Oryctolagus cuniculus: one gene and its partners. The protein of the gene in region 1 interacts with the protein of each later gene in a pairwise test. Links are inferred from orthologs where the notes say so. Each region holds a gene or a part of one and is shown on either strand. Other genes may lie near its edges. The genes, in order: CDC42, CDC42EP1, MYO9A, PLEKHG4, ARHGDIA and PAK3.

Region 1 (4,627 bases):
CTATACTGTCCAAATAGATAAGATTTTCAGTCCAGTAAGATTTCCCAAGTGCTGGCAGCTGCAGAAGATCCTGGCCTGAACAGATGAGCAAGGTCAGGTAAATGGAGGTCCCCTATCATCGGTCCGATATGCCCAGTTATGGAGCTGACTGACAAAGCACAAAGCCACCTCAGGAGACATCACACAAAGGCCTATGGGATATGCAGGTGGGAAAAGGTTCCCCAGACATCATCAAGTTCATTCAGCTGACAAACATTTCTTGAAGCCTGCAGTGTGGCCGGCAGCACTCTAGAGCTGGGGATACAGCAGTGCCCGGGCCAGGCCAGAGCTCTGCCCTCAGGGAACTTAACTGGACAAGAAATGTATCTGGAAGACAACGGTGGACAAGGCTTTATCACAGAAGCCTGGAATGGGGCCCTTACCAACCTGGGCTACAGAGATCCATTTATGGGAGATAAAGGGACACAATGTTAACCCCTTCCTCTCAGGGGAGGGGTCATCACCTGTTCCTCATCCTCTCAACAAGAGAGACCTGCACTAAAAATCTATCTAGGCCAGCGCCACGGCTCAATAGGCTAATCCTCCGCCAGCAGCGCTGGCACACCGGGTTCTAGTCCCAGTCGGGGCACCGAACTCTGTCCCAGTCGCTCCTCTTCCTGCCCAGCTCTCTGCTGTGGCCCAGGAGTGCAGTGGAGGATGGTCCAGGTCCTTGGGCCTTGCACCCGTGTGGGAGACCAGAAGCACCTGGCTCCTGGCTCCTGATCAGCGCGGTGCGCTGGCCGCAGCGCCCCAACCGCAGCGGCCATTGAGGGGTGAACCAACGGAAAAGGAAGACCTTTGTCTCTCTCTCTCTCACTGTCCACTCTGTCAAAAAAAAAATCTATCTATAAATAAAAATACAACTGACTTCTACGTCTAAGCAAGCCTAACACCGCTCACCAGACATGCACGCAGACTGCACCTCAGTGCTTTCCTAACTTGACAGCTCCTGGATGAAAATATCTAATTACTCTAACCACTTCAAAAACAACCAGATCAAAAAACGCCAAGTGGAAAAGGAGACTAATAAAGAGAAACCATCCTTGCAGTGAGAGAAAGCTCCGGACCCTCTCGGCCTCTAAGCCTCCACCTACTCTAGGCCGTATATAGACCCGGCGTAACCAGGCACGTGTCGGCCACAGCAGGCGAGCATTTTCAGGCAACAGTGGGTGTGATACCTTCCAAGTAGTGGACAAGTAACTGCAAAAAGAGCTCATCTGTCATACTCAGTTATCAATCTCTTATCTCCTCAAGTCTAAAAACTTAAACTACCCTGGTACATTTCTAAAGAAAAGATACAAATTTATGTACACGAGGAAAGTTCTCAAATATTGACTCACGAAGTTCAGCAAGAGGCGAGTGTCACAACTGTGCGTTTCTCAAAAGAAAGCCCACCGAGGCTCCCAGCGCATTCAGAAGACCCCCCACCCCGCACCTGGCCAGCTCCACGGCCATCCGCGTCCTGACGCCCACACCACAGAAAGCTCAGGTGAACCCGTCACCCCTTAAGCAATCCATTCATCCGCACAAACGAGACGGGCTGGGAAAGACCTGTTCCGACACGAGCTACCTCCCCGCAGCGCCTACCACAGCTGGAGCAGCTGTGCCGGGCAGTGATCTCTCTGTGCGCTGCGCCTGGCACTCAGGGGAGACGGCCGCGGGACACCTCAAGGGGGACCCATCACAAAGTCGCTAGCAGTAAGTACTGTTTTGGTTCAAAATCCAAAATTAATTTTAATGATAAAGTGTCCAGCAAGCAACGACTGGGTGTAAAAACAGGTTTTCAACATATCCCTGCACGAGTCCACGTGGGTGGGTCCTCCGCCCCCAAGAAGTCCGCCATGGGGGGCGGTGGGGGGTCACAGAGCCTGGGGCAAAGGATCCCCCGGGCCCGGCCCGCTCCAGCAGAGCACGGTCCGCGCGGCGGGGCAGGTGCTCCTGAGACCTTAAACCTCCCCTTTCGGGCGGCGGCAGGAGCTCACCAGCACCTCCGCGCGGGAGCGTGGCAGGGCGGCCGGGGGCACCCACCCGGGACCGCCCGAGGCCCCGCGCGCCGCCGCCCTCTGCGGGGCCCCGGCTTGGAGGAGTGAAAGCGCTCGCCCCTCCGACGGCGATGACGTCATCGTCCACACCGCGTTTCCCCCGGACTTCAAGGGGAGGAAAAAAACAAATGAACAAAGAAAATGTCCCCCCACCCCGCCCCGGTCAGACGACCCCGCAGGCGGCCCCAGGACGGCTCCGCGCGGCGCTCCGGGACCGGCCCGCAAGGGAGGGCGCGACGGCGGGGGAGAGGGCGACGGCGGCTCGGGGGCACCGGGAGGGCGGCGGAGGCCGGCTCAGACCCGCCCCGGGCCGCGAGGCGCAGGCCCAGCCTTGGGCAGTGGGCGAGCTGCCCGCCCTGCCCGCGGCCACGGCCCCGCCGAGGTCGCAATTCCGCTCCCCTCCCCCGCCCGCCGCAAAATGTCCGCGGCGGCGCGCGGCGAAGCAGGAAGTGGAAGCCCGAGCGCGGTGGGCAGCACCCAGCCCTGCCACTCCGGGGCCCGGCGCCTGCCCGCCCGGGCGCCCGCGAGCGGCTCCACGGCCCCCGGCCCGGGACCAGGGCCCCGCCGCCCGCGCGCGGCCGACCGCGGGGACCGACCGCGGGGGAGGGGAGCCGGCGGCCGGGATGGGTGTGACCCCTTCCTTCCGCCGCTGCCCGGTGACAGCCCGGCCCCGCCCGCGCGCTCGGCCCGGCTCCCCGACCCCGGCCCAGCCCGGCTCCGCGACCCCGAGCCCCCCGCCCTCCCCGCCACAAGCCCCTGCCCGCGGCTCCCCCCACAGAACCCGGCCCGGGCGCCTCCGGAGGGCGCAGCGCGAGCCGCGCACTGCCCCGCGCTCCGCGCTCGCGGGCTCCCCGCGGTGCCTGAGCCAGGCTGCCCCCGACGACGGGGACAAGCAGGGCGCGGCGCGGCGGGGACGGGACCGCGGGGAAGCCGCATCCGCGGGGAGTCTCGGGCCCCGCACTCACCTCAGCTTCTCCACCGGGGCGTTGGCAGCACTGCGCGGGGTCTCCTCCGCTGCCGGACAGGGGCACGCACCTGACGTCAGCACGCAGGAGACGCACGGTTGGGTGCCTGCGGAAGTGGGAGGGACGGGGAGGGAGCAGAGGCGTGGGCGGTCCCGGGCGGTGCCTGCTCGCCCTGGCCCCGCCCGCGCCTCGCGCACGCGCAGTCTGGTGCGTCCGTTTGGGCTGTGCTCTGCACGGCTCTTTCCCGTGGTTGTGCTGGCGAGGATGCTGTGAGCTGCGGTGTTCCGAGCGCTTCCGCTGGCGAGTCTTCGGGGCTTTGCAACCTTGTGAAGCAAAGTATTCTCCCTGTTTTCGCAGAGAAAAGGAAACTTCTCCACGAGGGCCTGCGCGAGGTCACCCTGCCAGCCTGGGTCAGGGAGCTGCAGGCTGCTTTACTCTGTCTACACCGCGGTGTCCCTGCTGCAGCCTCCTGGGCCTCCCCGTGCCTCCCCACCACGGGCCTTGCGCCTCCTGCTTGCCCCTCTCGCCCAGGCCTTTGGGTGGCTCGCAGCCCTCAGGTGTTGCCGCTGCCCTGGGCCATCCTGCTGTCACCGCCCCTGCTCCTCTGCTCCCTTCTGGTGCGCGAGCCTCGGGAGAACAGGGCGCTCCTCGGTTATTCTCAGATGTCCCCCAGTGCTGGAGAAACATCGCTGATCTCAGGAAGGATTCCCTTACTGACCCACCAAGGCAGAGGCGTGATTCTGGTAGATCAGTAGGCGTGCTTTCTTTTGCGTTGTCTATGCATGAAGACGACACTTAGAGGGTCTGCTGTAGGCCTGGTGCTGAAGCTTTGCCTGTAGTAGTAGCTAACTGAAAGCACCCAGGATGGCTTCATGGCATAACAGGTTAAGCCACTAGCTGAGATCCACTGGCTCCAGTTCCCGCTGTTCTGCTTCCAACCCAGAGCCTTCTAATGCACCTGGGGAGGTGCAGAGGATGGCTCAAATGCTTGGGCTGCCGCCACCCGTGTTGGAAACCCAGATGTGTTTCCAGGCTCCTGGCTTCCCCATGTGAACCAGCGGATGGAAGATCTGTCTCTCCTTCTGTACACATCACTTTGCCTTTCACATAAATAAATCTTAAAGAAAACACAAAGCCACCCTAGGATATAAGAACTGTTACCCAACCCAAGTCCCATTTATGATGCCTAGACTGAAGTTCAAGCCTGTTAAGGGACTTGCCTGTGGTCACCAAGACTGGCTGTGGCAGCGCTGGGCTTCGGCTCAGGCGGCTGCCTGTAGTTGGCCACCAGGGTTTCCCAGCACAGGGAAGGCTGAGTATCGAGACCAGCAGACGGGAGCCAGCGAGTGGCAGCAGGTTCAGCCACCGCTTACCCTGCTCCTCCTTACTGCAGATCCAGAGTCCCGCCAGTGTCCCGGGAGGCGGCAGATGATGATCCAAGTACTTGGGTTTCTACCACCCAGGTGGGAGATCCCCGTGGAGCTCCGTGCTCCTGGCTGTGGCTGTTGCAAGCATTTGGGGTGTGAACCCGCAGATGGAAGATATTGCTCTCTGTCATTCTGCCCATCAAATAAATAAGCA
Region 2 (4,646 bases), on another chromosome or scaffold:
GTGGGCAGCCTGCCACAGCGGAGGGCTTTGCGGAAGTCGCTCCTGAGGGGCTGTGGTGATCACACATGCAGGGGCTGGAGACCTGGCATGTGCACCTCAGGCGTTCAATGTGTGCTGGCTGTCACGAGCGCTGGCCGTGGCAAGAGCTGCAGCGGCTCCAGCACTGCCCTCCCAGGCCTGTCCTTGCTCTCAGCTTCTAAAATGCACCTGCCGCCGCCGCTGCCTGCTGCCTCCCACCCCTGCTTTGGGTGCGGGGGGAGGGGGGGGATGGGCAGCCACCGGCCAGCGCCGCCTCCCCCCTGCCCCGTCCCTCCTTCTCGGGAGCAGTCCCCTTCCTGCTCACCTGTGTTCCTCAGGGCCTCCTTCCCGCAGTTCTCCACGGGGCAAAACCCGCCAGGAGTCCATCTCCAGGGAAAGAGCCAGAATGACCTGCTGCACCGCCCGCCCAGAAGCTGGAATGAATGCCATGTGCCTCGGTCTCCCTCCCTGTCCAGCTGGGAAAACCAGCCCCTCCCGCGGTGGCCAGCATGAGGAGGCGTGGCCTCTGGGGACAGTAGGGACCTTGTCTCCTTCACCTGTGTGTAAATACAGCCCTGGCCCAGCCAGGGCAGCACGCGTACAATTTCCTGCCACCACACCTGCCCTCTCCAACGGAAGCCTTGGCACCAAGGCCGTGCTGTGCCGGCTCCTGCCAGGGGTGCGCGCCGCTGCCTTTAGCACTTAACACAGGTGTCACCTGTGGGAGCCCCCACCCCGGCTGCTGGTAGGGGCTTCTCTGGGCAGTGACCCCTCGTGGAGACCAGAGGCCGGCACAGCCACGCAAGGCAGGAGTCACCCATCTGCATCCCCTTTTTGAAGATGGTACAGGGCTCTGGGAGGCCTTGTCCCCTCTGGGGACTGGGGGCCAGGAGCCCTAGGCAAAGCCATGTGAGGCGTGGCCTCATTACCTGTTCTGCAAGTCGTCTGGGTGCTGACAGAGGCAGAGAATGCTCGATGCCTGCTGTGACTGTCCCACTGTTAAGTTGGGGAAATTGAGGCACGGAAGCTATAGAGCAGTGGCCCCAGGCTCCAGACTCCATGACCCCGAGTCCCACACTGCAGCACTCTGGGAGCGGTGGGGGCAGCGTGTGTGGCCAGGTCTGGCCACGCTGCCACCCACAGAGCCTGCAGGGGGGTGGGAAGCATTGGCGGGCTGGCGCAAGGGGGCCGGCTGCCCTCCATTGCAAAACTCCATGTCCACGCAGGTCTCCCGGGCCTTCAAGGATCTGGACCACGCCTCCTCGGTGCCCAAAGTCTCGCGGGGAGCATTCGGAGGGGACCCGGGGCGAGATGACCAGGCCCAAGGCCCCGAGGCTGCGCGGGGAGCTGTTGGGAACGCACTGGCGCGGAGCCCCCCCAGCCCTGTCGCCCGGCTCGCCTCCCCAGGGTAGCTCGCACATTCCCTGCTCGCCCTGCCCCAGGCCGGCAGAAGCCTGGCCCAGCGCCCCCCGCCGCGCCCCTGCAGCTCTCGCGGTGTGGACAGCGCCCGGGACGGGGCCGGGGAGGGGGCCGGCCCCGCCCGCGGGCTGAGGGGAGGGGACGGGAGGGAGGGCGGGGAGGCCGCGCGCCCACACCCCGCCCCCGCCCCCGGATCCAGCCCGCCGAGCCCGCGGCCAGGGCGGTGCAGACCGGCCCGGCGACTCTCTCGGGCTGCGCGCCGGGACGCGCAGCCACCGCGGCCCACGAGTGCGCCCGCCCCGGGACTCGCCGAGACCAGGTAATCGCCGACGGCCCACTGGGCGCCGACGCGGGTCGGGGTCCGCGGCAACCCCCGGGAACTCCACACCCTTCGGCGACCTCGGGGGGCCGGGCCGGGGAGGGTCTGGGCCCGCGGGAAGCGCGCGGTGCCAACAGGAAGGCCCGGAGCGTCGCGGCGCGGGCAGGCACGCTCCGAGTTTTCGGGCTGTTTGGCAAAGTCCCGGGCGGCGGCGGCGCGGGGAGCGCTCCTGCGGGCAGAGGCGCCGAGCCCAGGCCGTCTGCGCTGCTTCCTGCGTAGGGGCTCGGAGGGGGCGACGGGCGGGACGTGGGGCCCCGCGGTGCGGGCCGACGCCGGAGCGGGAAGTGGAGGGGGGGCCGGCGTAGACCAGGCACCCTGCCCCCTCCCCAGCCGCCGCCGCATTCCAGGCTGGAGCCGCGGATGAGGTCATTCCGGCCGGTTCCCCTCCGGCCACGACAGCCGGCCGGCCCCTTCCCCGCGGAGCGCCCCTCCGCCCCCTGCCTTCCCTGGTCCTCCGGTCCTCCGGTCCTCCAGAGCGAATGTTTAGGGCGAAAGTCTTTCCCGGACCTCACTCTTGGCCGGGTCCCAGCCGGCTGTGCCCTGGCCCCAACTGTGAGAGACCCGCCAAGTTGGAAGCCCATTTTCCGGACGGGCAGGCTGAGGATCAGAGAGGCGCTGGGACCCGAGACCCAGCTCTGACTTCGGGTGGTTGGTGGCGCAGGCCCCCTTCGCGCCTCCCCGGTCTCTCTGGGCTCCCTCTTCCTCCACCTTGGGGCAGGAGAACTGACTGCCCCCCTCTCTGGCCGCAGCTGCCCTGCCCCCCCCAAGCGGCTTGGCTCAGAGGGGCTTGAAAAGGAGTTAACCCCCTCCCCCTGAGGTCATAGCAGGTTTGGGGGGCCTGCTGTCCTGCGGGGAGGGTGTCACCCCGCCGGGCGCCTGCAGCCTTGTGCACACTAGCGGTGGCCTCTGGGGTGAGACGTGGCACTGCTCAGGACACAGCCGCGTGCCGGTGACCTCTGGGTGACAACTGGGCTGTGGGGCCACCACCTCCCCAGGGCTCAGATCGTCCCTAGGCCTCCACAGCGGCCCCTGTTGGCCTCTCTGGTGCCGCCCCCCGCCAGGCTCCTGCACTTGCTGGCCTTATACCTGGCCCAGCCCCTGACTGTCCTGCAGGGTGAGTGGAAGGACCCGGGCACACGGTGACTGCGTGGCGACCGCGCTGGCCACGACGCAGGCACTGAGCTGCAGAGACACAGGCTCCCGCCCTCCGGGTGCTGGGCACCTGCGCCTCCACCACCTGTGCCCCCTCCCCCGCAGACTCCACCCCAGCCCTGGGGCATTTACTGTCGATGTTGGCGCCCAGGCGCGCCAGGCGTGACCCAGGGTAAATCAGGCTCCATTCTGAGCCTCGTTTTTCTCACCTGCAAAATGGGTGCTGCGACCATTCACAGGTAGAATTCCTGCGCTGGGGAGGGTAGGAGAGCCCTTCCCTAGGACCCCCAGAGCCCAGCTTCCTTCTGTGCCGGTGGGGCACCCCGATGGCCAGCGGCGCCCTTGTGGTCAGCTACCCCCAAGGGTCTCCACAATGAGGTGTAGGATTTGAACCCAGAGCTGCCCTGCCCCAGGATCTAAGGGCTTGCTGAGAACATCATCTCTCCTTACGGCTGCCCTGGAGGGGACCCATCTGTGATGCGGTGCCCGGGCCTCTGCTGCACTCGGCTGGGTGGGGCGGTGGGGGTGACCCTTGGGAGGTGTCCAGAGGCACCTGGGAGGCTGGGAGGAGGCCGTGCTTGGGGGTTGCGTGGAGCTGGAGCCCCTTTTGCTGGGAGGGGAGGGGCTGCCTTGAGAAGCCTGGAGTTGGGGTGAGGGTGAGGTGGGTGTGGCCACAGGGCCAAGCCCCCACCAGGTACCTGCCACGTGACCTTGGAATGGGCCGCAGGGCTGCTGGGGAGCGAGGTGACATCATGGCACCGCTGGCCAAGTGCAGAGCGCTTGGTGACCTCAGCCACATTCCACGAGGACACGGCGGTGCCTGGGGTGCCAGGGGGAGGATGATTCAAGAGGCCCCCCAGGGGGAGGAGCCAGCGGGTGGTGGGACGGGCGAGCAGCAGTGGGGGACAAAGCAAGCTTTGTCCGGTGCCTCTTTTGTTGTTATCTTGTTCCTTAACCTATTTTGAATTTCAAATAACAGTCAAAGGGCAGATTTTTATGCTGCAAGAGGTGGAAGTAATTTCTTAAAGAAAAAAAAAAAAAGGTTGAGGCTCCAGGGTAGGTGTCCTTGTCCCTGGCTGGTGGAGGTGAGTGACCTGCCCAGGGTCACCCAGCGGGACACAGCGTCCCCGCCTGCGGTCACCGCTCGCTCGCCGGGAGGGTGACCTGTTGGCTCAAAGCTTATCACAGAGCTCCCCTGTGAGGGAGTTGGCGGGGATCCGGGCCTGGCCACGTGGATGAGCCAGGCTGGCTGGGGGCCTTGGTGTGTCCCAGGCTCTGAGTTCAAGTTGCGACCAGCTGTCGCCACGTGACCCAGAGTGGGCTCTGCCCTCTCTGGCCGTGGCCACCAGGGCGCCCTCAGCCCAGGACGTCCTAGGAAGCACCGAGGGGCAGAACCAAGAGACCCTGGGAGAAGGCCGGGGCGGGGGAGAGGGGGCACGGTCGGCTTTCGGCCCCAGCAAGCTTTTTCCCAAAACTTGTTCCTACGTTGGTTGACAAACCGTGATAAAGTCCTTCCTGCAGGCCTTCTCAGAGCCTTGAACACGCACACCCAGGTGCGCAGGAGGCAGCTGGAAAAAGCCACATTTGACCACAGGGTCCTCTTCCCAGGAAGCACCTTGAAGGCCGGGGGTGGGGGCCGCTCTGAGGAGCCTCTGGCTGGCGGTTTGCACAGCAGTAC
Region 3 (3,449 bases), on another chromosome or scaffold:
CCTCTCCTGGTGACACTGTCAAACGCCAGACTTCCTTGGCGCCAGTTCTGAAGTGGTGCCTGCAGCAGTGGGTGGTGGGCTGTTTGCTCAGGGACACCTGCACCAAGCCGGTCCGTCTGAGCCCTGTAAATCCTGGCCCAGCCAGTCCATCTGCTGTGTGAACAGACACGATGATTTGCTTTAGAGGGAAGCGTCGCCCAGTGCTGGTGTCCTCGGAGGGGACTGGTACAGCACTGGTGTCTTTTTTCTTCAGAGAGAAGCTCCGCCCTTAGCTCCCTGAAGGCCTCCGGCAAGCTCGACCCTTCAGGCAAGTCGCGAAAGCCGCTCAGGAAGCAGCCGGCCTCTGTGGCTTCAGCGGACTGCTCGGCCCCTTCCTGTCCGTCCACCACCGCATCATCTCATGGGACCAGAAAGCGGTTTCAGATTTATTCCAAATCTCCCTTCTACCGAGCTGCCCCCGCCGGAGAGGCCCTGGAAGGAGCGCCGGGCCCGAGCAGATCCCTGGAAGACAGGCCTCAGTTCATCAGCAGAGGCACTTTCAACCCTGAAAAGGGCAAACAAAAGTTGAAGAATGTGAAAAACTCACCTCAGAAAACCAAAGAGACCCCAGAGGGGCGCAGGAAGCCTGGGGACCCCGACGGCAGCTCCACACCACAGGTAGCGCTCTTTGGAAACCACGAGTTCATGGTGTGACCTGGTGGCCGTGTGTCCTGTCAGCGCATCCACGGCAGTCCCTCCTGCGTGCAGCCCCGCCTCTTGCCCGAGCACCTGGCTGCGACCTCTTGTACAAAGGGGAAGGCCTCTCGAGGCCTGCTGGGAACAGTGCCAGCCGGCCGCGGCTGCTGTGCGTGACTTGAGACCACACTAAAGCGAGCCACCTGAGCCTGGGCCCTGGGTTGGCTGTGCGTTCCTCTCCTCCACCCTCTCGGAGCCTGAGGGACCCTCGGACTTCTGACATTGGATGAAAATGTAGACACCTTTGTCAACCATGAAAGCAAAGCCTTTGGGTATATTTTGGGATGGTTAGGAGCTGGGGTGTATCTAATTTTTCCCCAAGGTTTATAAACATAATATGTAAGCCCTCTATTTTAAGATTTTTTTGAAAAGCACTCCGTGGTGTAGTCTGGAGGAACATGCAGTGTGTCCATGAGGCGTTGGAGCGTGAGGATGAGAGCACACGTGTTGTCTGTGCTGCTGGCGTGGCCAGCACTGCTGGCTCAGCTCCCGGACAGCCCCGTTCCACCCTGCTCCCTGGGCCAGCGTCAGATGCCTCTCAGAGACCCAGGGTCCCAGCACAGGAAGCTTCTGCCCTGACCCCCACTTTACCTCTGTGCAGACCGAGCTGCAGCCACGCCCCGCCCACCACAGGTCCACACAGACTGCGACCTCCTGTCACGTCCCCAAACAGTCACGCACACCACTGCATGAACAAATGTTAGAAAGCTGCCAAAATATCTCCCTGAGTTTTTAATGTGACCCCTCTAACTTCCGCCTTCCTTTCCTCAGACCGGCAGTATTAAGTAGACGAGACAAGAAATCCAGGACGACTTGAAGCTATTTTTGTTAATATTCTGTGACTGAAGTTTACTGTAAATATCTGTGTATAGGATGCATATTTCTTTTTAACCGTGCGCTTCCCTCCTTCCTCACGGACTTTCTTCCCGCAGGTGGGGGCTGTGGCTGGGTTGAAGGAGGAGTAAGGCCATTCTTGGTAACCGCCGGTGGTCCCCATACACCTCAGTCATAATAATGCTGTAAGCATCTTAGCGTTTGTGGGATTGGACATGTTTTTTGCTATTTATGATTATGAAAAATGAAACATGATACCCTGGAGATAAGTACATGGAAATGTTGATTTGTAAAGTTACTAAATGCATCTGTCTAACCACCACACGCACTGCTCAGCCAGAGCCAGAGCCGTCTCTCACCCGAGTTTTGGTTTTTCCGCTTTCCCGACTTGCCTGTTTGCAAGTTAGGGGAATCCTGTCTTCTGTTAAGGCAGAACCCCGCTGTGCCCCAGCACCGAGCCTCTCGCCACTGCTCGGTGGTTCTGGGAGCCCCTCTGGGTGGCAGCTCTCCTGGCTGCGGCTGCCAGCTGGGCCTGGGCAAGGTGAGCCCCCTGGTCTCCAGATGGTGATGGTAACCGGGTCAGTGCTGAGTTCATGCCCCACCGACGCCTGCCGTCCTGCCGTGGTGTTCCGGGGAGTCCTCGCGTGGGAAGCCTCTCTGCGAGGGACCCCAGCTGAGCTGTGCTGTGGCAGATTGCGGGGACAGTGACGTGCTGCCCGGCGCTGTCACTCCCCACTCGCTCCACAGTGTTGCTGAAGCACCGTGGACAGAGGGCTCACCCTTGCTGGATGCTTTGCTTTGGCCCGAGAACACCTCTTGGCACCCAGTCCTCCCTCGTAAAATGTGTGTGGGCTTCGGCAGTTAAAACTACTTACACTATAGGTCACTTTATAGGAACTAGGTGATGGATGCTAAGAGACTTTATAATTTTGCTCAGGGACCTAAAACCTGAATTTGGATAAAAACTAAATAAAAGCTAATGTTTTCTCCAGTAGATTTGTGGACTTCCAGTCATTTGGGAGGTGGGAGAGCGCTGGAAGGGTCCAGCAGGTGGGGCCCCCTCTGAGGGAGAGCAGGCCGCTGTCCTGTGGGTGGCAGGTGCAGCGAACCCGGGACCCCAGAACTTGTTTCCTGTGGTAACAGTTGTCACTTAGGTCCCCCCAAAGTGACGCTGCGTTGTGATCTCCTAGGGCTGAGATCTTTGACCTCGATACGTGTCCCGTTTGTGGCTTCCTAGTCCTTCTTTTCTTTGGTCTCCCAGCAGCAGGGGGGCAGCCCCACACTTGTAGCCCACCCTGAGAGACTCAGGGCCCGGCCGTCACATGCCGCATCCCCAGCCCTGGTTGCTCCTGACAAAGCTGTTCTCTCTCCACGCTGCGTATGTATTGTGGGAAACGTAGCAGAAGAAAAGAAGGGTTTGTGTGTCGCAGATGAAAGCAGGCTGGCAGCAAATCCAGGCAGGCTTCAGGGAGGTGAGCCATGGTCAGTCTGCAGAGTACTTAGTGCCATGTAAATCACGTTGCCTCTCGGGGCTGGGAAACACCCAGGACACTCAGCCCTGCAGGGGGGGGTGGGGAGCTTGCCACGTGGGCCATCCCAGTCCTGGAGGCCGCGCCTTCTCACTGGCACTAACAAGGTGCTCCCGTCCCCAGCACTTGTGAGCTGGAGAAGGGGTCCTGAGGGGGGTGCAGAGCTGAGAGGTTTCCCAGGAAGCTTTCTTCACGCCTCATTCCGTGCCGGCAGCCACGTCCCACCTCGCACCGCGCCTGCGAGGGCTCAGCACTGCCTCCTTCAGCCGCTTTTCCCTCGCAGGCTGGGTTTGGAGGAAGAGGCTGATGGCCAGCGCAGACTCGGCTGAGGCTGCAGAAGGCCCCGCCTTC
Region 4 (4,809 bases), on another chromosome or scaffold:
ATCACAAATGCATGTCTGATGGCAACTGTGGGGTGAATTTACTTATGAGAATGTGTCTTTACTCGAAAAGATCGCACTGCACTGGTAACAAGCTTGTGTGTATTCTCTGTCCCCAGGAAGCTTTGAGGTGTGTCCAAGCCCACGCATCATCCCCCCGTCCCCAACCTGTGCAGAGAAGGAGCTGCCCTGGAAGAGTGGGCAGGGGGACCAGGCGGTGTATGTGTCCTCAGAAACCACCAAGATTGTGCCCGTGGACATGCAGACGGGCTGGAACCAGAGCATCTCATCCCTGGAGAGCCTGGCATCCCCTCCCTGTACCCAGGCCCCAACTCTGACCCGCCTGCCGCCCCGGCCCCTGGGTGCTGAAGAGCCCCGGGCCGCTCTCGACCTGCTTTCTGATCCCCGCCCTGGCTTTGCCTTTCCCCCCAGCCTGGCCAAGGCTGGCCGCTCCCGCAGTGAGAGCAGTGCTGACATCCCCCAGCAGCAGGAGCTGCAGCCCCTCATGGGCCACAAGGACCAGACTCATCTCAGCCCGGGCACGGCTAACTCCCACTGGTGCATCCAGTTCAACAAAGGGGGCCGGCTGTAGCGCAGGGTCTGGGGGAGGAACAGGAGGTGTAGTGTTCTCAGCGCAATGGGCAGCCTGACATGGGACCAGAGGGGCCTGGGCTGAAGTAGCAACTGGGTCTCCTTGGGGCTGGTCAAAAGGGTTTCCTGGGCTGGTCCTCACAGGGACCCTTATCACCATCCTCCCTGCTCCTAACCCCTGCCAACTTCCATTTCAGTAAGGTACCTACCCTGGCTCAGGACCCAGTCCAGAATTTCTAAGGGCTAGGTCCAGAGACTTGGGTAGCTGATAGCCCTTCCCCAGTGGGTCTTCCTGGGGTTACTGTAGGCAGCTGCTCTTGACCCAAAACAAAGGCATCACTCCTCAGCAGATGCTGGCCTGCCTGCCCTCCATGGCGTTGGGGTGGGAGGTAGAGCAGGCCTCAGTATTGGGTCTGACTGCCCTGTAGGGTCAGGCACCCGGTCAGTTTTTTCAGGGCAGTGGAACTCTCTGCCTCCACTTCTTGCTTCAGCTCTTCCCTGTGCTGCCAGGTATCAGGGCAGTAGTTCAAGGCCAGGGGAACAGGCCAGGCTTCAGTTCAGGGGTGCTTCTCAGCCAGGGTCCCTCCGGGGATCAGCTGCTCTGAGTCCAATCTGGACTTTCCCGATGCTTGGGTCTGGGTTTTCTGAGGAGGGGATGCTATGGCCTCTGGGCTCCCGTGTCACCACCTCCGCTTTCCCCAAACAGGGGAGGAACCAGGCCTCCCAGGGCCGCTGCTCCACTGCCCTGGGGGCTGGGATGCCTGGCTGCAGTGGTAATGGGGGGCTGACTAGTGGCAGGTGATTTTCCTGGGGTTAGCACCTGCCTTGTGTTTTGTACCTTGAGCCTAACATCCATTAAACATCTCTCAGATGGACAGGTGTCCTGTGTGCGTGTGTCTGTGGGCTCCAGGGGCGGGAGTGCCAAGGGCATCTTGTGAGTAAGTGGAAACTTCCAACCGCCTGGCCCAGGGCTCCTGGGACGGAGAACAGAGAGCAGATACGAGGCAGGACTTCAGCCCCTCTGGCCTTCTCCATACCTTTCCCACACTTTCCCCCTGTTGGGGGCAGTCCTGAAGAGGGGAGTGCAAGGTTTTGGGCAGAGTCAGGGGAATGACAGTGGGTCTCATCAGCAGGCCCACAGCTCCCATTTTATTTTTTGCCTGGGTTTATGTTGACAAGGAATGGGAGGTTGGGGGAGGGTGGGGAAGGGGCATGGGAACAAAGTCCATCCCCGTTTTATGAGCTCAGTGGAAAAGGCTGCTGAGGGCAGACTCTGCTGCCAGCAGAGCCACAGAGATGGGCTTCGTGAGTCACTGCTTGGTCCTGCAAGCTCAGCCCATACAGCCTGCTGTGGTCAACCGCCCCGGGCTGGCTCCAGGCCCAGCCCCCCAGGGTTCTCCCCTCGGCCTGTCTGTCCCCGTTTCTGTGTGTACCTTTGCCGTCCTGGGCTGTGCACTGGGTGGCTCTCTGCATCTTCTCCAGCTTCCTTTCAGGCACGGCCTCTGAATCTGCCTCTCTTCTTGTGACTCTGGCTTCTGTCGACTCACAGATGCGGAGCCTCAGGAAGGCAGGGGTGCTGTGACGCATCTCAGGCACCCCCGAGCGTTTATTCCGCGCCAGGCCACGTGCTGGAAGGACAGAAGTGGACAACATGTAATCTGTTTCCGTGACGCTTACAATGCACATTCTATGAGGAGTGGAGAAACCAGGGCTAAGCCCTGCCCCTCAGTGTGTCCCCGAACCTGTCCGCTGTGCCCACAGGTGCCAGGGTCTGCTAGGGCCTGTGGCTTGAGGCCTCTTTGCCTCTGGCATCGGGAGGACTATGTGCCCGGCAGCAGGTCTAGCCCAGCTCATGTAAGTGTGCCTGGGCGGGCGGGGGTGGGGGTGCTAATGGGCAGAGGTAGCAGCAGCAGAAGGGGAGGGAGGGAGCAGGAGCTGGTGACTCAGTGAGGGCGGCCCTGGGACAGAGCTGGGGAGGGAGCACTGGACCCAGTGCTCACTGAAGCTAGAGGAGGTGGGGAGGGAGGTCTGGCTAGGGGTTGGGGACGGAGCAGGGCAGCTCTGAGGTTCCTCTCTCAAAGCCAAACCGGGCCATGAAGAAGGCTCCTTGGTAGTGGGAGTCTGGATTCTGGGGGCTGGGCTGGGTGGGAGGCTGCTGTTTTCCCACTGTACCTACTCCTGATGCTCAGGTCCACAAGGAACACTCTCCCACCTTAGAAGAGGGAAGCCAGTCCACCCATTCTCCCCCTGCCCGGGGACCAGGGGTCTGGGCGTGCTGTGGGACTCAGCACCTTCTCCTCGTCACACGTCCCATCTCCTCACAATCTCCCCCACAAATCTGGGGGGAAAGGCAGGCCAGGCCCACACGTCCCAGAGGGACCCCGAACGTCAGAGCTGGGAGGGCTCTCCCCGCTTTCCAAGGGACTTTCCCCAGTTCAGGATGGCCTGGCTAAGGGTGAGAGAGGAGGCAGGGCAGGAACACTGAGCGGGAGTGTGACATCTGGGGTCTCCCTAGTCCTCACGGCAACCCCAGGAGAGAGGAATGACATTTTTCTTTACAGGTGAGGCTCAGAGAGAAGAGTACCTGGAACCTGGCAGCAGGTAAGTGGAGGAGCCGGGCCTGGGCCAGTCCACTGGCTCCAGGATCCCAGCCTTACTGGACTTTGTGGGGGAGGGCAGAAAGGCGTGGCAAGGGGGCAAAGGGGTGGAGGGTCTGGGCCTGGCAGGCCTGGGTCAGCTCCCACCACAGAGCCCTCACCACCCCCCACCCATCCTCCAGCCTGAAGAGCAGCCCTTTCCCAGGGGGTTGTCTCTCAGCGCCTGGGTCTGCGGACTTAAAGGAAGGTGGGGCTGCAATACAGGGCCCCTCACTTCCAGCCCCCGGGAGGATTCCCCGTTGGTCCCCAGCAGCCCCAAGCAGCCGGCTGGGCTTATGGAGTCTCCAGGGGTTCACATTTTCCCCCTCTTTGGGCATGCCTTGAGGGCTGTGAGGAGTGAGTGGTCTCCTTTTGCTGAGGCAGTGAGGACAAGGCAGCGCCCCTCTGCCTCCCCTCCGCCCCCTAGCGTGAGCAGACGCCCCCGCCCAGGCCAGCTCCGCGACCACCCACCTGCGGGCTCCCCACGCCACTCACCCTGGGCACCAAGGGGCCCGAGACGCCGAAACGCCGAGCGCGGGGCGCGCCGAGCCCGCGGCAGGGCAGGGTGGAGCGAGCCGCGCGGCCCGCGGTTGGAGTGTGGCGAGCAGGAGACGCTGCCAGGGGTCGGCGCCCGCTGCCAGGCGCCGTCTGCCGTCGGGACCCGCGAGGTGGGCTGTAGTGCCGTCCTCCGGCCCCCAGGGGGCGGCGCGGCGTCCTTGGCGGCCTGGCCTTCTCTCGCCCGTGGCCTGGAGGCGGCGCCCTGGGACGCCGCGCGCTCACGCTGTCGCCGCCGTCGGGGCTGCTGTCGGTTCGTTCGAGGCCCCGCTTGCGCCGCCACTCGAGCTCCTGGGTTTCCCGCGGCGCGTCCCCGGGGGGCGTGAGAAGGCACGCTCCGGTCCCGCGCAAGGGCCAAGGCCAGGCTGGGCCGGCCATGAGGCAGCACGAGGCATCGCCACGCGCACCCACGGGCGTCCGACCGGCTTAGTGTGGCCGTGGGGGCGCGTCCGAGGGTGGGGCCCGCCGGGCAAAGGCTCCTGGGAGCGCGACGCGGGCTGGACAGCACAGGAAACCCCTGACGTGCTTTCTCCTCCCCAGGTCCTCGGGTGGGCTGGCACCAAGCCAAACATCTCCTACTGCCTGTGCTCGCCGAGTCCTACCAGACCGCCGTCCCGGTTCCTGAATGAGCTGGGGCCTCCACACCGCGGTTCAGCCCAGCCCCCGCTTGTCCTGAGCAGCCCCACCCTTACGGAGGGTGATGGAAGGGCCCCTGGAGGATGGAAGTGAGTCCCCAGAGCCCCGGAGTCATGCCACCGACCGGCAGTTTACGGTGTGCAGTTTCAGGGATACCCGGGAGGAGGACCCCAAGCCCCCAAGCCCCACAGTGGGAGCAGCCCAGGGCAGAGGGCCACAGGGCAGCCCCTTGTGCGGGGAGCCTCAGTTATCCCCAGGACAGATGGCTGCGGCTGGGCCGGGGCTCAGCCCGAGCGGAGCAGTAGGAGGCCCCTCAGCCCGGGTGGAGGAGGTGGCCCCTGATGGCGATGGTGTGGAAAGCCTCCTGTGCCCCATGTCCTGCCACCTCAGCCTG
Region 5 (4,470 bases), on another chromosome or scaffold:
GCCCACGTGGAGACCTGGGTTGTTTCTGACTGGGCTTCGGCCCCTCCGCTGCCGTGAGCTCTGAGAAGCCGCACACCTCGGCCTTGCAACAGAGTATACACGGCAGGCCCTGTTGCATTCAATGTTTTTATTTGAACCAGGATAACTCCATTTTTTTTTTTTTTTTTTTTTTTTTTTTTTTGAAAATCAGAGTTAGAGGAGAGGTAGAGAGAGAGGTCTTGACCATCCGCTGGTTCACTCCCCAGTTGGCCCCAACAGCTGGAGCTGCGCTGATCCAAAGCCGGGAGCCAGGAGCTTCTTCCGGGTCTCCCATGCGGGTGCAGGGGCCCAGCACTTGGGCATCTTCCACTGCTTTCCCAGGCCACAGAGAGAGCTGGATCGGAAGAGGAGCAGCCGGGACTCGAACCAGCCAGAGCCAGACCCGCCCCTGGGTGTGGGGGGGAGCAGGGGAGGCAGTGCGGCCTGGGGGGGGGGGGGCAGTGCGGCCGGGGGCAGTGGCAGTGGCTGGAGATGCTCAGGCCCATTCAGTGTCGGGGCGTCGCCCTGCCGGCCTGCTCCAGGGACCCCTCTGTCCAGGGACCCCTCTGTCCGGCGCTCACGTCCATGGAGCCCCGTCTGCCAGGTCCGCCCAACCCTGCAGGGACGGCAGAGCTGAGGGAACCCCGAGACCTCCAGGGGAGGCGGGAGCAGCCAACCAGCGAGGGCCACGCGCCGGACTCCACCCAGGTCTCCGCCACGGGTGCCAGGGACCCCAGGTCTTGGGCTGTCGCCTGATCTCCCCCAGCCCATTAACAGGAAGCTGGATGGGAAGGGAGCAACCAGGACCGTCCCGAGTGGTGCTCGAGCCACGGTGCCGGTCAGCGCTGCCCCGAACCGGATTCCGGCCGAGGAGCAGCAGATGGGGGCCGCGGTCGAGGCCCCGACAGCTCCGGGGGCTGCACTGGGGGGTCCCGTGCCAGCCCCAGCCAGGGCGCCGAGGGGCTCGCCGACGCCTGCAGCAGCTGTCGGCGGGGCGGGCCAAGCCCCTCGCGTCTCCCGCGCGGGAGGCCTGGACCGTGCACCTGGGGAGTGAACCGGCGGGGGCAAGATCTGACCTCTCTAACTCGGCCTTTCAAATAAATAAATATTAAAGAAAGAAAAGGACAAGCTTCAGGCTCTAGTCCACCCCGGGGGTCCTGACGACGCCCCCCCCCGCTCTGCCGCTGCAGTGGGCAGCTGTGTCCCCCCGCCTGGCGACCCACAGGGCCGACCGCGGGGCCTCGCAGTGGCTGGCGCGGGAGGCGTCCTGGTCCCTCGGGCGCCCACCTCGAGGACCACGCCGCCCAGCGGGAAGCGCCCACGAGGCCCGGCCCGCAAGATGGCGCCCGCAGCGCACGCGCCCTGGCCGCAGCGCTCCCGCCGCGCATGCGCAGCCCCGCCGGCCCGCCCGCCGAGAGCGGAAGTCGCGTTGACCCCGGAAGTGACAGGCGGGCGGGCGGACGGACGGGCGGGGCGGCGGACGACGTTCGTCATCTGCTGCGGGAGGGAGCGCGAGAGCTACGCGGTCGAGCCCTCCGGTGAGTGGCCCCTGCGGGGCCGAGCGCCGCGCGGGTGGGCAGCGGGTCGGGCGCGCCGGCGGCGGCCGCGGCGCGGGGGAGGAGCCGCCTTTGTCCCGCCCGCCCCGCCCTGCGCCCGCGGCGGGTCTCGGCGGGGCGGGGGCTGACAGCGGCGGCCGGCGCGGGGCGGGCCCGGGCGGGGCGGCGGCCCCACGTGCGGAGGGGCCGCGGGCGTGGGCGGGGGGCCGCCCGGGCCCCGCGCGCGCTCCGGCGGCCCTGCGTGCAGGGGGCCGGGCCCGAAGCCCCCTCCCGGGGGCCGCGGGCGCTGCCGCCCCGGCCCCGCCCCGCCCGTCGCCCGGATTGCGGGCCCTGCGGAAGTGCGGGCCCCGCCCTGGCTGTAGCCCGCGGCCGCCGCTGCCGGCCCGGTTTGTGCGCGGGGCGTTGTGCGTGCGCTGCGCTCTGACCGCCTCCAGCCCCGCCCGGAGCGAGCCGGTGGGTGCTCAGGGTTCCGGGGCGCGCAGGGCGCTGCAGCCCCTCCCGGATCTCGGGTCCGAGCCCCTCGGCGTGGGGTGGCCCTCGTGCCCCGACGCGCGGGCGCCAGGAGAGGCCTTGCGGGCGAGGGCGGCCGCGGGACGCGGGAGGGCCGTGGTGGGGGAGGCGGCTGCCGGCGGCCACAGCCCTGCGCGCCCACAGGTGTGCAGGCAGCGAGCGGCGAGCATGGCTGAGCAGGAGCCCACGGCCGAGCAGCTGGCGCAGATCGCGGCGGAGAACGAGGAGGACGAGCACTCGGTCAACTACAAGCCGCCGGCGCAGAAGAGCATCCAGGAGATCCAGGAGCTGGACAAGGACGACGAGAGCCTGCGCAAGTACAAGGAGGCCCTGCTGGGCCGCGTGGCCGTGTCCGCGGGTGAGTGGGTGTGGCCGCGGGGCACCTGTCCGCCCTCGCCTGCCCCGGCGGCCGCGGCGGGCGGGGGTCTCACCGGCCGGCTCTCCCCAGACCCCAGCGTGCCGAACGTCGTCGTGACCCGCCTGACCCTGGTGTGCAGCACGGCCCCGGGCCCCCTGGAGCTGGACCTGACCGGTGAGTGGGCGCCCGCGGCCCTGGGTGGGGCTGGCTGCCACCCTGTTGCTTCCGCTAAGTGATGTGGTGCGGGGCTGCCCCCTGGCGGGCCCTGGCGGAAGTGCGCTCGTGTGCTCCCCGCACAGGAGACCTGGAGAGCTTCAAGAAGCAGTCGTTCGTGCTGAAGGAGGGCGTGGAGTACCGGATAAAGATCTCCTTCCGGGTAGGCCGGGCGCGCCGCGGGGGCGTGGGCCCGCTGACCCCGCTGACCCCGCTGACCCCCGCTGTGGCGCCCGCAGGTGAACCGAGAGATCGTGTCCGGCATGAAGTACATCCAGCACACCTACAGGAAAGGCGTCAAGAGTGAGTGCGCGTGGCCACGCCCCGCGTCTGGCCACGCCCCCGGGAGCGAATGGGGGCAGACCTGGGGAGGGGGCAGGAGTGGCCACGCCCCGTGGGAAAGGGTCTGGAGGGACGCCTGAGGCCACGCCCAGTCTGGTCACGCCCTCGGGAAGGGCGGGGCGCCGAGGCCACGCCCCGCGCCGCTGACCGCGCCCCGCGCCCCGCAGTCGACAAGACCGACTACATGGTGGGCAGCTACGGGCCGCGGGCCGAGGAGTACGAGTTCCTGACGCCCATGGAGGAGGCGCCCAAGGGCATGCTGGCGCGCGGCAGCTACAACATCAGGTCCCGCTTCACGGACGACGACAAGACGGACCACCTGTCCTGGGAGTGGAACCTCACCATCAAGAAGGAGTGGAAGGACTGAGCCCCCCCACCGAAGTGCTGACAGGGCCCCCGCGGCCCTCCCCCCTTGGCCCTCCTGCGCCCACAGGCCCCGCCCGCGGTGGTCTGCCGTTGCTGCTTCTGCCTGTGCTGCCGGGGGAGGCCCGGCCCGAGTCTCCCTGCCCGCTGTGTTCCCCAGGTCCCCCCCCACCGCCACGCCCGCGGCCCTGGCCCTTAGGAGGGAGCGGGGCGGCCGCGCGGGAGCTGGGGTGCGTGAGGCAGCCCCATCCACTCCCCGGCCAGTTCATCTGTCGCTCAGTACCGTCTAACCATGATGCCTTAACGTGTGGAATGCGTCCCGGGAGCTGCCATTCACTCCCCGTGTCTGCCCCGCCCACCGCCCCCGCGACAGGGGAGGGGCGCCAGTGCCGCCTCCCTGCCCCCCAGCCCCCTGGCCTGGCCAGCCGACCCCTGTCCCCCGGCCGCTGGGGCGGGCCACGTTGCCAAACGCCAGGCACTTCTGTCCCGTGGGGGGGGGGCAGGCGTCCCACACCTCCGCCTGCCCTGTCCCAGCGGCCAGCACTGACCCCTCCCCCGCAGAGCCCCCGGCAGACGGTGCGGCCGAGCCTTCCTGCTCTCCGGGCCGCAGTATTTATTGCCTCTGTTCGTGCCGTCCTGGGCCCTCCCGGACCCTGCAGGACAAACCTGGGACCAAGTGCACACCGCTGGGGGCCGTCCCCGTGCCTCCCCCCAGTCTCCGTGTGGCGTCTGCCGGGCTCGGCCTCCACAGCCGCAGGAGCCCCCGCTTCTCCTCCCCCAATTGGGAAATAAACTGCCCCGAGGACCCGCGTCTGCTCGGCCCTCTTTGGGGTGGGCGGTGACCACGGCGCGGGAAACCATGGGACACTTGGGGCAGAAGTCTGCCCAGGGGCCCTACACGATGGGGTCCAGCCTCTGGCCCTGTTAGCCCAGGGGATGGACCCGGGGCTGGGTGCAGGCAGGGGAGACCACAGCCAGGGCCCTGCAGGGGCCCAAGGAGGAAGTGGATGGGGGGGGGAGAGGGTTCCTGCCCCCAGGCGTACAGGGGCGGGGGGGGGGGGCTGGCAGCAGCCCAGGCACCTGGAGAGACCCGTGGCCATTGAGGTTGCT
Region 6 (4,485 bases), on another chromosome or scaffold:
TATTTCGAGAAATCTCTAGTCAGATCATTTACTCACTTTTTAATTGGTTTGTTTCATTGTTATTAAGTGTCTTGAATTTCCTATATATACTGGATATCAATTGTTCTTCAAATAAAGTTTACAAATACTTTCCTCAATGTGTAGGCTGTCTCTTGTAAGTGTTTTAACAAAATCAGTAGCGTAGAACCATATTTGATTCTTAGCAGGAATATATGGTGTCATGTTAGAAAAAACATGGGCTTTGGACTTAGGGAGACTTAGATACAAATCCCATCTCTGCCACTTTCTACAATGTTTATGTAATACTTATGTATGCATAAATATATATTTTAATTAAGGAAAATAAAATGTGCTAATTGACCCATTAAAAACAGTCTAGATTATATCAGTTCACTTAGTCTTTGCCTCTCTCTTTCCTGTTTTGTCACAGATCGAGTTGGGTTTCTAAAAAGATTTATTTATTTATTTGAAAGGCAGCATGAGAGAAAGAGAGAGAGAGAAAGAGAGATGTCGCATCTACTGATTCACTCCACAAATGGCCACAAGGAGCCTGGAACTCCATCTGGGTCTCCCATGTGGGTGACAGGGTCCCAAGCACTTGGGCCATCTTCCACTACTTTCCCAGGCACATTAGTAGGGAACTGGACTGGAAGTGGAACAGCTGTGACTCAAGCCGGTGCCCATATGGGATGGCAGTATCACAAGCCATGGCCTAACCCGCTGTGCCATAATGCCAGCCCTGGCCATTGCTCTTTTTTTCAGTTCTCTGTATCATCAGAATTTAAAATGAATTAGTCCAAGGGAAGCATCCCATTCTTCATTTGCCTGGGATGTTCTTTTTTGGTGGATCTGGGGATCTATTATAAGACTTTTCTTAAAGATCTCTGGGCAGATATTTTATTTCACTCTTGGTCTTGGAATTTGTTTTGCTGGCATGACAGAGAAATGATTGCTGGATGCTACGTAGTGTTGAGAAAATTGAATAAAAGTGCATGAGGAAGGGTCATTACCCATTTTGACCATTCAAGTATGTGAGGATATATTTGTCTTTATTAAAGTTTCAAAGTGGAGAGGAAAATCATCCATAGTCTTACTGATTGAAGCAATTTTATGATTATTTTCTGAAGGCATATTTTACACTGTTATAATCTGAATGGCTTACTCTTTGTTTTACTTAACTTTTTTCTTTAATGACAATCTACTCTTTCCTTCCAGGGATTTACCACAATTTACATAATATAGCCAAATCCTGGGGAGTATGGATTTTGAAGTAGCAAAGGATGATTTGATATTTTAGAAGGCTTTTGGGCAATACTATTTTTTTCTAAAAAATTCTAAAATACATTTGAACTGTGCCCTAAAAAGAAGAGAAGCCATTGAAGATTTGGGGGGAAAGGATGGACATGGAGAATCCCGTTTTAGTGAAAAAAAAAAAAAGCATACATAAGGTGTATACAATCACGTTCATCAAAGTATGCACAGATTAATTCTTTTTTTTTTGGTTTGTTTTTGTGTAATGCTCTGTTTTGAAACGTGCTGCGTTTCCTGTGCAGAATAGCATCTTCCCTATGCAGATTTGCCTTCTCTGAACCCCACTGCTGAGTCTGCTTCTTGGAGTTTTCTGTGCACTCTAGAGACTCCACCAACGTCACCTGCTTGCCTGACAGGTGGTGTCCCAAATCCAAACCATTTCCCCCTTAGCAAGTATGCCCCTGTAGCTGGATAGATTTCCTGCTCTGAAAATTTATCAGAGAGCCCAGTCTTCCTAAGGGGGCAGTTAAGGAAAACACATAAATGCCCCCACCCCTTCTCTAGTCCCGTGCTCCTCATTCTTGACGGCCCCACCTCCGTCTAGACAACCCTGACTGTGTAGAAGTTTCCATCTCCTTTCCCCTTCCCTCTCCTTTCCCCTCCCCTTCAGTTTTCCCCCCTCCCAGGCGCTTCCTGCCTGGAAACAAAAGATTGGTCCCCAGTAGCCCACTCAGGGCGATTTTAGTTTTATGCTCACCATCTGATTGGCCTAGGTACGGTGCAGAGCCCGGGTGACGTCATAGCAGACAAGGGCTAGGGAGCGGTTGCCGAGCAGGAGCCCTACCGCGGGCGGGCAGCTGTGGCCGCGAGCAGCCTGGGATCGCGCACCGCGGGGCCGCAGCTTCTCCCTGCCTGGAGCCAGTGTGCGGGGGTGGGATTAGAGCCGGGCTGAGCGGGCTGGGCCCGGGGCTGCGGCTGCGGCCGCGGGGCTGCGGCTCCCCAGCCCCGGCTGCAGGAGCGCTCGGAGGTAGAGGAAAGGTCTTGACGGGGTGGCTGAACCGTGGCAGGTAAATCTCGCGAGTCCCGGCTCCCGGGCTGGTTCGGGGGAGGGGGGACGGCTGGCGCCTCTGCGAAAATGCTGGGCAGATGTTCTGCCTTGCCAGGCCCCCTCACGCTACCGCGGAGCCCTCGCCTCGAGTCTCCTACATGGCTCCCCGGGAGCCCTGAGACCAAGAGCGCACTTTGCATGATCCTGGTTCGTGAACGCGGACAAGTGGGTGTGTCCGGGCCGTTCCCGGAGGGCCTGGGCTTCTTCGCTTGGGCAAACCCTAGACTCGCTTAATGGGGCCTGGGCCGCTTGAGGCAGAATCAGCTCTGAAAGCTACGTCAGCCTGTAAGTCTTTACCTTCTTCCCGCACCCCCTCCCCAGCCACAGTAGCCGTGACAGCAGCCACCCCCCATCCCCGGGAAGGGGAGGGGGTGTGGCCGCGCTCCAGCCAAGTCCACGGCTGAAGAGCCCTACTGGAGCCAACAGAACAGAAAAAGTGACGATTTTTTGAAACGCGTGCCTTTGCCCCTAGCTTTTATTTTTCTTTATCCCTATCCCCCTTTTTTTTGGTGGGGGGATGGTAATGACATGAGGACTCTTTTTTTTTCTCCTGTGGGAACTGAAGTGATGCAATAAATGGCCCTAGAAACCAAGGGTCCCTCCGTTGGCCTCCTCTGTCTTTGTCTGGGGAGCGAGGTCATTGGGTGCACTATCTCCACCGCCCCCCTCAGTTTCTGAACTGGCTCTGACAAGATTGCTGCCGCACTTCGGGGCCAACTGAACATTTTCGATTCTGACTCTGACAGTTTTCTCTTCCCTCTGTGTTGTTTAAGGGGTGAAGTGGCAGTATCCATGGGGAGGATAGTTTTCCTGAGGAGGGAGCCACAGGGCCCACTTGTCTTTCACTCCCCACCCCCCAAACCCACCTTCCAGAATCCAGTTCCAGATTCTGGACTTGAGGGTTCTGGACTGTGGTCTGTAGAAGAGAAGGAGAGAAGGGTGAGTGGCTTGGCTTTGGGAAGCATGATGGGGGCGGTTGTACTGCAATTTGTTTTTAAATGGCTTTCAGCAGGGAAGACTTTAGCCATGTTAGTCTTGCTCCCCTCATGGTTTTGCAGACTCAAATCCAGGCCAACTGGATGACTGAGGTGTTGGAACAGAAGGAGGCCCATTCCTGTTGGTGAAAACACTGTGGCCCAGTTCTGGGATGAGCATGGTATAAAGGTCAGTGCGGTTTTCACTAGGCTATTTGCAACGTCATAATTGGGCAGGATCCGTGATCTGGTACTTGAATTGCCCAGTCAGGGGCATCTTTGGGCAAAAGGGCTGAATATGGTAATGGGTGGTAAATTGGTTGGGGCTTGGAGACAGCCACATAAACCTCGGTTTCTGGACCCCAAATATCAGACCCCTCCATTTTCATGCAAGAAGCAAGATGCAAAGACACTGGGAGGTATGCTGGGTAAAAGTCGACAGCTGAGAATCCCAAGGCCAGCAAGACCTTGAGGATGTCAAGGAGCATATCCTCCAGGCCTTCGGACAAGCAAGTAGACCTTGGAGGAGAGACCTGAACAGAGACAGGAGACTCCTGTGCAATGGGAATACAGGCAAGGGAGCATAACATCCTAGGAACATAGTCACCAGCTGACCATCCCTGTATGGTACAGAATTTCCTGGTCATAGATCCAAGTAGTTTACAGAGCAAACATGTTTGCTGAGGTCTTGGGGGAAGGTGGGTTGTTGCTGTGACAGGTGAGGGGGATGAGGAATAAATGCAGGGATGGGGAGGCGGTGCCATCAGAGATTGTAATACAAGGTCAGAGGCGAAGTTACTAATGAGGTCAAAGCCCCCCCAAAAAAAATCAAATTTAGAAATCATATGGAGTAAGTGGGATCAGATGGGGTAGGTAGGATAAGTTGCAGTAGGGACAAGAAAAGCCAGAGAGACATGTATGTAAAGCCATCATCTTCCCATAAAGCCCAAAGCCCTGATTTCCCTGATGAGATGAGCACATTTTGATGATTGAGGCAGCTGTGGTTGGGCCAAGAATGAGAACTAGCTGTTGAGGGAATCCATAGCCTTCCCACTGGCCTAAGCAAGGGAAAGAAAAGCAACTTGATGTGCAGCCACTTCCTCCTGGATAAGGAGATGAGCTGGTGGAGGGCAGAGCCCCAAATGGGAGTGG

The links.
Region 2: the proteins of CDC42 (region 1) and CDC42EP1 interact in binary tests that used the Homo sapiens proteins (3 or more experiments, as listed by UniProt). The link is inferred for Oryctolagus cuniculus from reciprocal best matches to the Homo sapiens genes CDC42 and CDC42EP1.
Region 3: the proteins of CDC42 (region 1) and MYO9A interact in a two-hybrid assay, tested with the Homo sapiens proteins (3 studies listed by BioGRID and IntAct). The link is inferred for Oryctolagus cuniculus from reciprocal best matches to the Homo sapiens genes CDC42 and MYO9A.
Region 4: the proteins of CDC42 (region 1) and PLEKHG4 interact in a two-hybrid assay, tested with the Homo sapiens proteins (2 studies listed by BioGRID and IntAct, with this or other methods). The link is inferred for Oryctolagus cuniculus from reciprocal best matches to the Homo sapiens genes CDC42 and PLEKHG4.
Region 5: the proteins of CDC42 (region 1) and ARHGDIA interact in binary tests that used the Homo sapiens proteins (3 or more experiments, as listed by UniProt). The link is inferred for Oryctolagus cuniculus from reciprocal best matches to the Homo sapiens genes CDC42 and ARHGDIA.
Region 6: the proteins of CDC42 (region 1) and PAK3 interact in a two-hybrid assay, tested with the Homo sapiens proteins (2 studies listed by BioGRID and IntAct). The link is inferred for Oryctolagus cuniculus from reciprocal best matches to the Homo sapiens genes CDC42 and PAK3.

Annotation. Positions count from the first base shown.
Region 1 is NC_091438.1:148,727,120-148,731,746, forward strand, and holds the start of CDC42 (cell division control protein 42 homolog), read right to left. Parts: upstream 3,170-4,627; 5' UTR 3,047-3,169; intron 1-3,046. UniProt on the Homo sapiens protein: Plasma membrane-associated small GTPase which cycles between an active GTP-bound and an inactive GDP-bound state. In active state binds to a variety of effector proteins to regulate cellular responses. Involved in epithelial cell polarization processes.
Region 2 is NC_091442.1:114,476,690-114,481,335, forward strand, and holds the start of CDC42EP1 (cdc42 effector protein 1), read left to right. Parts: upstream 1-1,601; 5' UTR 1,602-1,756; intron 1,757-4,646. UniProt on the Homo sapiens protein: Probably involved in the organization of the actin cytoskeleton. Induced membrane extensions in fibroblasts.
Region 3 is NC_091443.1:111,243,521-111,246,969, forward strand, and holds the end of MYO9A (unconventional myosin-IXa), read left to right. Parts: exon of another isoform or gene 1-253; coding exon 254-693; 3' UTR 694-2,560; downstream 2,561-3,449. UniProt on the Homo sapiens protein: Myosins are actin-based motor molecules with ATPase activity. Unconventional myosins serve in intracellular movements. Regulates Rho by stimulating it's GTPase activity in neurons.
Region 4 is NC_091449.1:50,553,750-50,558,558, forward strand, and holds the start of PLEKHG4 (puratrophin-1), read left to right. Parts: upstream 1-1,616; 5' UTR 1,617-2,442; intron 2,443-3,149; 5' UTR 3,150-3,189; intron 3,190-4,319; 5' UTR 4,320-4,479; coding exon 4,480-4,809. Other genes in the region: SLC9A5 (sodium/hydrogen exchanger 5), read left to right, coding at 117-589. UniProt on the Homo sapiens protein: Possible role in intracellular signaling and cytoskeleton dynamics at the Golgi.
Region 5 is NC_091448.1:1,032,093-1,036,562, forward strand, and holds ARHGDIA (rho GDP-dissociation inhibitor 1), read left to right. Parts: upstream 1-1,423; 5' UTR 1,424-1,556; intron 1,557-1,896; exon of another isoform or gene 1,897-2,027; intron 2,028-2,228; 5' UTR 2,229-2,252; coding exon 2,253-2,442; intron 2,443-2,532; coding exon 2,533-2,616; intron 2,617-2,741; coding exon 2,742-2,818; intron 2,819-2,894; coding exon 2,895-2,958; intron 2,959-3,164; coding exon 3,165-3,364; 3' UTR 3,365-4,165; downstream 4,166-4,470. UniProt on the Homo sapiens protein: Controls Rho proteins homeostasis. Regulates the GDP/GTP exchange reaction of the Rho proteins by inhibiting the dissociation of GDP from them, and the subsequent binding of GTP to them.
Region 6 is NC_091453.1:82,428,340-82,432,824, reverse strand, and holds the start of PAK3 (serine/threonine-protein kinase PAK 3), read left to right. Parts: upstream 1-1,488; 5' UTR 1,489-2,318; intron 2,319-3,132; exon of another isoform or gene 3,133-3,298; intron 3,299-3,417; 5' UTR 3,418-3,523; intron 3,524-4,485. UniProt on the Homo sapiens protein: Serine/threonine protein kinase that plays a role in a variety of different signaling pathways including cytoskeleton regulation, cell migration, or cell cycle regulation.